Solanum lycopersicum: one gene and its partner. Each later gene encodes a partner of the first gene's protein in a complex. Links are inferred from orthologs where the notes say so. Each region holds a gene or a part of one and is shown in the gene's direction. Other genes may lie near its edges.

What was found.
Region 2: COP9 signalosome complex subunit 7 (region 1) and COP9 signalosome complex subunit 8 share a complex: the UniProt entries of both Arabidopsis thaliana proteins name them as parts of the CSN complex. The link is inferred for Solanum lycopersicum from reciprocal best matches to the Arabidopsis thaliana genes FUS5 and COP9.

Annotation. Positions count from the first base shown.
Region 1 is NC_090800.1:79,720,446-79,724,746, forward strand, and holds the start of COP9 signalosome complex subunit 7, read left to right. Parts: upstream 1-1,459; 5' UTR 1,460-1,671; coding exon 1,672-1,830; intron 1,831-3,280; coding exon 3,281-3,356; intron 3,357-4,301. UniProt on the Arabidopsis thaliana protein: Component of the COP9 signalosome complex (CSN), a complex involved in various cellular and developmental processes such as photomorphogenesis and auxin and jasmonate responses.
Region 2 is NC_090800.1:89,068,584-89,072,595, forward strand, and holds the start of COP9 signalosome complex subunit 8, read left to right. Parts: upstream 1-1,212; 5' UTR 1,213-1,351; coding exon 1,352-1,435; intron 1,436-1,545; coding exon 1,546-1,625; intron 1,626-1,728; coding exon 1,729-1,910; intron 1,911-4,012. UniProt on the Arabidopsis thaliana protein: Component of the COP9 signalosome complex (CSN), a complex involved in various cellular and developmental processes such as photomorphogenesis and auxin and jasmonate responses.

The DNA of each region.
Region 1 (4,301 bases):
AAAGTAATAATTTGTGCTTAATTAGTTAATAGCAAGTTGACTATAATTTACATTTACAGATTTATTATAAAATAATACTCGCTTCAAAATTCCTTTCACATAAAAAAATCCCTATTTTGGGATCGACCCCTACACGGAAGCAATAGCGAAGTCAATTCGGGTAGGCGCACGATCCTTATATCATAACAAACGTTTTATAGGCTCCCGAACCCTCGATTCGGTTGTTTTCCAAGAATGTTGAGCCACATATGTAAGCCATGTATCTGGGAGGAACAACAATAAAAGAAAGGTTTCAGTTTTTGTCTTGCAACTATTTTCAAAATATATATATAACCCAAAAGAATATTCATTCATTTCTTTCTTCTCCGTCGACCACGACGATTGAAACGACGCGAAAAATCTAGACCCCGTAAAGGAGAAGGGTCGGGGGGGGGGGATTTGGGAAAGTCGGGTCGGCCGGGTGTCTTTATTCAAGCAATGGTACAGAAGTAGAACGAAATAGAGTGAGAGGTCGGGGGCATGGAAAAGAGTCAAATCGATCAGGCTCGACGATCGGGAGAAGCAAAACGAAATCAGGATTTGAACGAAAAAAAAGCAAGGTTGTGTATACCATGACCGATCACCATCGACAAAAGAAGAATATTTCTAAATCACTTCGTGTCAGCGGGACCTTCAAGCATCCGAAATATGCCACGATTGAAAATGACATAACATACATGATTAAAAACATAAAATTAAATCATAAAAGTTTGAGGAAAGATGATACAAGTTATTCATTATTATCAAGGTGTCAAGTGAAAAACAATAATATCTATGATCGAGAAAGATTGAAAGAAGTGATTGTCTCACATTTGCTAAGAGCTCTTTGATGAATTTTTCGTAAAATGCAACCCCTTACTTGTTAAGTAACTCTCTATCTAATTGTATAAATACAAAATACTATTTTATTGATAAGTTATCATATAATAATGGTATATTCAAATTTAAATACATTGACATGAAATCAACCTAAAGCATACGACAAAGCCATTAAGATTAATAGTATGTCAATGTCAAAAATCTTTCTTCAGTATACATGATTTGATTAACATGACATTCACTCTACGTTATCATATTGAATATATTATTATTGAAATTTATTAAAATTTAATATACATATAAAATAATTAGTATATATTTCTTATAATGATCTTATTTTCTTTTTTGTATATTTTAAAAAGAATGATATTTTTCCTTTTCTGGCAACATTTTAACGATATGACATGTTTAAGAATATAAAATTAAAAAGTATTTTGATATACTTGACATAACTTTAATTTAGTTACATAAAATTAAAATATATTATTCCTTTTTTGAAATTTTATTTTAAATTATTATTATTTTTTTAAACGGAGGGAGTAATTATTATTGTAAAATATTGAAAGAAGCTTAAAAGTAAATCAAAAGTATAAAAGGACCCGCGATGGGCTCAAAGCATCATACCAAATCAGACAAGCGCCCTTCTTCTCCGTGGGACTCCAAAATTTTACAGTTAAAAAAGCCCTCTTCTCTATTTGTTTTTGTGATAAATCTTTGAATCGGAAATCAGAAACCCTAATAATTTTCTTTGCTTTTGTCTATAAATGTTATTGAACCCCTGATTACTTGTGATTATTAATTATTCATAGAGAGATGGATATCGAACAAAAGCAAGCGGAGCACATCGACTTCTTTGTGAAACAAGCATCAGCACTCAAGGGTTCTGCCCTTACCACTGTTATTGTTGAAGCCACTTCGCATCCATCACTCTTTGCTTTTTCAGAGATTCTTTCTGTTCCCAGTGTTCTCGAGGTTTCCATTCATTCATATTACTATTTCTACACTTGTTCTGATTTTGTTTGAAGTTTTTTTTTTTTTTTTATGATAATTGGGTTAGTAGGTGTTGCGTTAATTTGTTTTTTTGTAATTTTGTGTGTTTTTTCCTATACTGGGTTTCTAGGTATTTACCCTGAACATTGTGTCGTGGTTATGTACTTATGCTATTGATTGGGCAATATCTGGAATATGATATCATTCTGGGTATCTGTTTGTTGAGTCTTTCGAAAACAGCCTCTCTACCTTCTCAAAGGTAGGGATAAGGTCTGCGCGTACACTCTACCCTACCTGGACATCAAACACCACTTGTGAGATTACATTTGGTTTGTTGTTTTTGTTGTTGATGGAATTTCCTGATAATTTGATTAGTGGGTTTTCCTCTCATATTGGAAGTGCCTGCGTTAGGCGTAGTAATTGGTCTTGTGGTACGAGGAAAAATGTTGGGGATGTCTTAAGAAAGGAAAGCTTTGAGTAAACTGGGATGGATTAATGAAAACAATATTTTGCCGATGAGCTACAAACTCTTGCTCATTTATATGGCTGTATGTTAAATATTGAATAGTCTATGTAGATGTTTTAGATCATGGATAAATAGATGAAAAGTTAATATTTTATCTTATGATCAAGTACCAGATGATTTTCAAAACACAAAAGGAATGAATATCAGGAAACACAACTAAAATGGATCAAGATACTACAATTTGATTGATTTTAAAAGAGGTAATAGAAGCGTAGGGGATACAGTATCATTAATGAGGAAATAACTTGGGTTCATCCTATCAATTCAATCAACTTCAGAGCTCAAAACCCTAAGCATATCGAAATGGGCTTAGTTGCACGGACTCTTCACTTTGATGCCGCATCCGTGTCGGATTCACCAAAATACACTACTTTTGGCGAATCCGACATGCACTATTGACAGTTTGGAAGAGTCCGAGCTACATAGGAAATGGGTTTTATACTCGGTTTTGATTCTCTTTAGAGTTCCTTTATGACAATTAGGTAGACATCTGGGAATAAAGGGCAAAAGAAGTGCTTTTGATCAGTCAGGTTAGACCATATCTGAAGTGGGCACTTTATTGTGGTATTTCTTGACTATAAATTGCACCTGTGATTCAACGTTGGTTGTTGAATCATAAGATTCAGGTTAGATTTATGCATCACAGACTTAGATTATAGTTGATTCTGCTGGAACATAAATCTAATTGTGAGATTTGAATCTCAAACTGTAAGTTTTTGAAAAATATGGGCATAGAAAACATTTGTTTCAATGCAGAGGATTATTGGGAGCACCTGAAAATTGTACCTTGATATACTTTTTGCAAGTTGTGTAGTTAACACCATATTGCCATGTTGCTGTATATATACTTTGGGATCCCTTTCATATTTGCGGTTAATTGTTTTTTTTTGTTGGACCTATATGCAGCTTGGAGGAACTGAGAATTCAGTATACCTTGATTTGCTTCGTTTGTTTGCTCATGGAACATGGAGTGACTACAAAAGTAAGCGTACATTTTTTTTTATATCTGATTATTTTAGAAACATTTTTTTTGTTGGGTAGGCTGGGTAGCTGATTGGATCCGCTTTTCCAGGTTGGAGATTTCAACAATGTTCTTTTTATTGCCATTATGTCAATTTATCTGCAATACTTCATTTACCATTCTTTCATATTAAATGCCTTAAATTTTATAATATTGTGAACTTGTACCCTATCATTTCGAGGTATTTCTTTGAGATAGAATATGCTTTTGGTCATATGTATAAGAACTTGAAGATTCTTCTAATTGTTAATAGAGCGTTAGTGCAAATGAGGGTATCAATATTAAGTTATTAACTTCTCAAGTTTTGTTTCTCCGTAAATGAGTTCATTGTTGGCTGGGAAGTTAATAAGGACATGGTTTAGCCTCAGTTGTTCGGACTTTATGCGGTATAGTTCTTCTTGAACTGGTTTGATTCTAAATTTTCTTACAAAATCAATCAAATTATTTGGTTGATGTGGATTTCTTGATCGTAGCAAGACTGGAATAGAACTTTTGTTCCACATAGGGGCCATAGTATCAAGTAATAGTAGCGTATAGAATTACATTCTTCAAAACCATTTTCTCATCTATTTTGCTTATTAATTTATTTCTTTATTTCTTATTGGCTCAGGTATATAAGACATAACACTACAAATATGATATAATTTTTATTCCTTCTCAGTAATCACTTTTATTCACAATTGCCTTTTTATAAAGTAATATCACATTCCAAGTTTAAGTTATGATAATCTTTTTGCTAGTAAGAATTTGGTTATTTCAACACCTTGATACGATTGATATTTTGAGTAGAAGTGCTAATGAAAAAAAGTCTTCTTTTTTTCTTCTCTTAACTTAAGAATTAAGTAAAATCAATGAAATTGAACTGCATATGGTAGAAAACCATGTGAATCATCAATACAATATTTG
Region 2 (4,012 bases), about 9.3 Mb from region 1:
CATACGAGGTATGTGATTTACAATATAGGCTCGTGCAATATTAACATTTTAATATATATATTAATTTATAGTGCCTTCTACGTAGGAAATCATAATACAATCATGGAGAAAAGACATAAAGTTGTCACTGAATTTGTCACGTATTTTTATAAAGACCCTTGAACTTTGAAAGTGTCCTATCTCCCAACAAAACTTTTTAATATCTTTGTAAATGAGCCATTTTGACCCATTTCCTTGTTTGGGTTGTGACCACGCACATAAATCTGTGCTACAATGCTTTCACTGTCATTAACCAGCTTAAAAGTAACACATGTCGCTTTATTTCTTTATTATTAATTATTAATTTGTTTACCTTATCTTTCCCAAATTTAAACTCAAAATAGCCATTGATAGCCACTCTTTATGATTTCATTTTTTTTTCTCTAAAGCAAGATCAGATACACTCTTTTTGACAAATACATAATCTTCTCCTAAAGCAATAATGTAGGAATTCTTTCTCTTTAAATTTTCAATAAAATGGTTTTTTTGGGTGTATCACTAAAAGCATCAGATTCAATTTCATTACTAAAAACAATGAAGAATAAAAGTTTGAGAGTCCTCTCAAATGTTTAACTGAAAATACACTACTCAGGAGGACAATATAATTAAAAAAAGGCCGACATTAAAATTATTTATCAATCTTCAACAAAATTGTATTTCGAAAAAATGACGTACCAATTCAAAATACTTGATTGGAGAAATGATGGCGAGTTGAGGTCCAAGCTTCTCCTCTGCAGCTTTCTTTGCCTTAACTCTAAGTTTTTCCAACTGCTTTCTCCTCTCTCATATGCTGCCTGAGCTCTGTCTTTCCTCTTGTTCTCGAGTTCCTTGAAAGAAAAACAAGAAAATCTGAAAGAATTGGAAAGCTAACTAATAACCAAGGAAAAAAAACATTTTTCTACTTTATAAAAAAATTAGATTGGGCTAAACGGATCAAAAAAAATGAGCATCACGCGCAGTAATCAAGACAAGGAAATGAGTCAAAATGATTCATTTACAAAGATATTAAAATTTTTTATAGAGTGATATAACACTTTCAAAGATAAATTATCTTTATAAAAATATAAAACGAACTTCAGTAATAACTTTATGTTTTTTCTCTACACGTAAACAAGAAACAAGAAACATGTGTCGTGAAAAATGTTAGTATTTTTGTTATTTAGTATCCGGATATGAAAATCACCTTTAAGTAGCCCAAAGGCCCAATAACCAAAAGCCGAAACTATTTAATACATTGTAATTCCGATCACCCAGCGGGGAGTCGGTGACGGAGTAGAAGGAGAATCGACGACGAAAAAAACAGTGCGCTTCAATGGATACTTCTCAACTCAACGAAGCCTTGGCGTCCAGCTTCTACGACAAGATTGCTGATATTTGTGATGATCTCATGCTCCAGGCAATTTCTCCCTATTTTTTTCTCTTTATTTATCGTCTTTCTAGTGTAGTTCTTTCAGTCGATTTAAGAGTGAAACCTAATGTTTCTATTCGCTTTATTTGTATTCATAGGGTGCCGCTGAGGGAATCGAATTTCAAGATGAATGGCCGTACGCGATTCACCTTCTAGGTCATATTTACAGCAATGACATGTAATCTCTTATTTGCAACTTTACTTTGGAATTTTAGGGTTTTAAGTTGGATGATGTTAGGGAATTGATTTAGAATTACATTGTTATTGTTTTACTTTTGCAGTAATAGTGCGCGATTTCTGTGGAAGAAGATACCTGCAGCTGTAAAAGAAGCCCGACCAGAGGTGGTGGCTGTTTGGAGGATTGGGCAGAAACTTTGGACAAGGGACTATGTCGGTGTACATGAGGCTATTCGTGGATTCAGCTGGAGTCCTGAGATTCAGCCCTTTGTGGCTTCCTTTGCAGGCAAGTTTGTTTATCTTTATTCTCCATAGAACAAACGGTAGAGACTTAGTTGATCATCCTTTTTTGTTTAAAATTTGATTGGCTTCATTTAATTCTAGTCGTCTAATCAGTTCTGGTTAGAAGCTTTACATACTGTACTGTATAAGTCCTAGCAACAGCCCAAGATTTGTTTTTGCTTGTCCAATCCATAGGATTATAGGGTTCTGAATGATGAAGATGAAAGAACCCATTGAGTAGGTAAAACGTTGAATATGTGAACAACTAAGACATAGCATCTCTAAGTTATAGTGGTGCAAGAGGAGTGTCACCTCTCGTTTTGAAATAAAAAGGGAGAAGTTAAAGTGAGTGTTGAGATTTTTTACCATTGTCAAAAAATAAAAGTGTTGAGATTATATTTCGAAGGTTCTATCTAGTAAATTTATACTATAGTTGGCATTTGGAAGGAATTAAAATTCTTTTCTGTGCCTGTCAAAAGCATAGAAGGTTTTGCTGCTACAACTAAGAATTGTGACTTATAAGAAGTGCCACTTTGCCAAAGGAGTCTAGCCTCTCTTCTGGGTTAAGATAGAATGTGGATCAAGTAAAGGATTAACAACAAAATTGCCATTGTTGTGAATTAGTAGAATCTATGGATCTGCACAAATCACATAGTTGGGCTGCAGTCAAAGATTAGCTATTGGAGTTTGATAATGGCTTGAGACTACAATGATGTTCTCTGATCTTATCTTGAAGTCTAGTGCCCACTTTCAGGTAATCATCTTAAGTGGGCTGGTAGAATTGTTCTCTACAGGTCAATACATCTTGGTACAACATCAAAAAATTTGAAAATGATATGTTTTGTTAGCAAGGCCATTGGCTGTTTGGTATGAAATAGTCAGTATAAGCAATTATTTAGTATGGGTTTACTTAGGATGTATTTACTGGCGTGATCCCCTGAAAGGAGATCATAATGGTGATGCCTTTCCCAATCACAACGTGTCAATTTCGTTCCTGGTTGATGTCATGATTGTTGGATTGTTGGTTGCAGTATCATCTCCATGCTTGAATCTTGATATGTATGTACTTATTGACCTAGATAATTGTGGATAATGCTCCTATTATGTCTCCCCATCCTATTTTTCTTCGTTGTTGATTTTGCTGTGTGTTCTTTTTTTGTCAATTACTCCTTATATGAGTTGGACGAGCTTAATTGGTTCTTTGTTTTCCGCATGCGCAACTTTGACAAGGCGTTTTATTTACTAAAACAAGGACTGTATACTCTTTCTTTGTACACCATTTACTGATGGTGAATTAGTTGGAGTCTTGGGTTGTTTTAATTATTGGGTAACTCTCCAGATTCATTGAATTTATTATATACTTGACTTTGGGAAGATAGCTATTGAGGAAAAATATCTTTCCACATATAAAGGATAATTTGGCATGTAACTTTCTACTAATAAGACACACAGTAATACTAATTCCATCATATTGCTTTCATCCCACCTATATAAAAAACAAAACTATACTACTACATTTTGGTGAGAGGTCAAGGATTAAGTGATAAACTGATGTAGACATATACCAAAAAGATTAAGTGATTACTCAATCTATGTTGAAATGTTCTGTCTGGAGGATTGGTTATGGACCTGTGGTAGACAAAGCAGCATAAATGAAGTTGTTTTCAGACCATGCTGATGGAGAGGAGCGCAACAGAATTTTCAGCATGCTTAGTTCCGACTCTAGGATCTTCTGTTGTGGTTAGAAGTAAATTAGTTTAGTACTATTTTTGTGTTTTGTAATTCATGCAGCATTATATTTTTGTGACGTCAGGTGAAACTATACTTCACCAAATTATTATTTTCTTCTGCCATATTAATTGGGGCTGTATTTGTAAGAAAATAAAATGATTGTTAGCACATTATTGTAGGGGGTGGTGGTTACATATATCCTTAATTTAAGTTGGTTATTTGTTTAAATATTAGACCACATTGCTGGGGAAATGTCCGAATAGTTGCTAGCAATTTTTTAAGAAAAGCTTTTACACAAATCTGTGAAGGGAGCCATATAATGTAAACATAAACTTGAAGAAGTTCTTGTGCCCCATTGTTTTCTTTGTGGTTTTT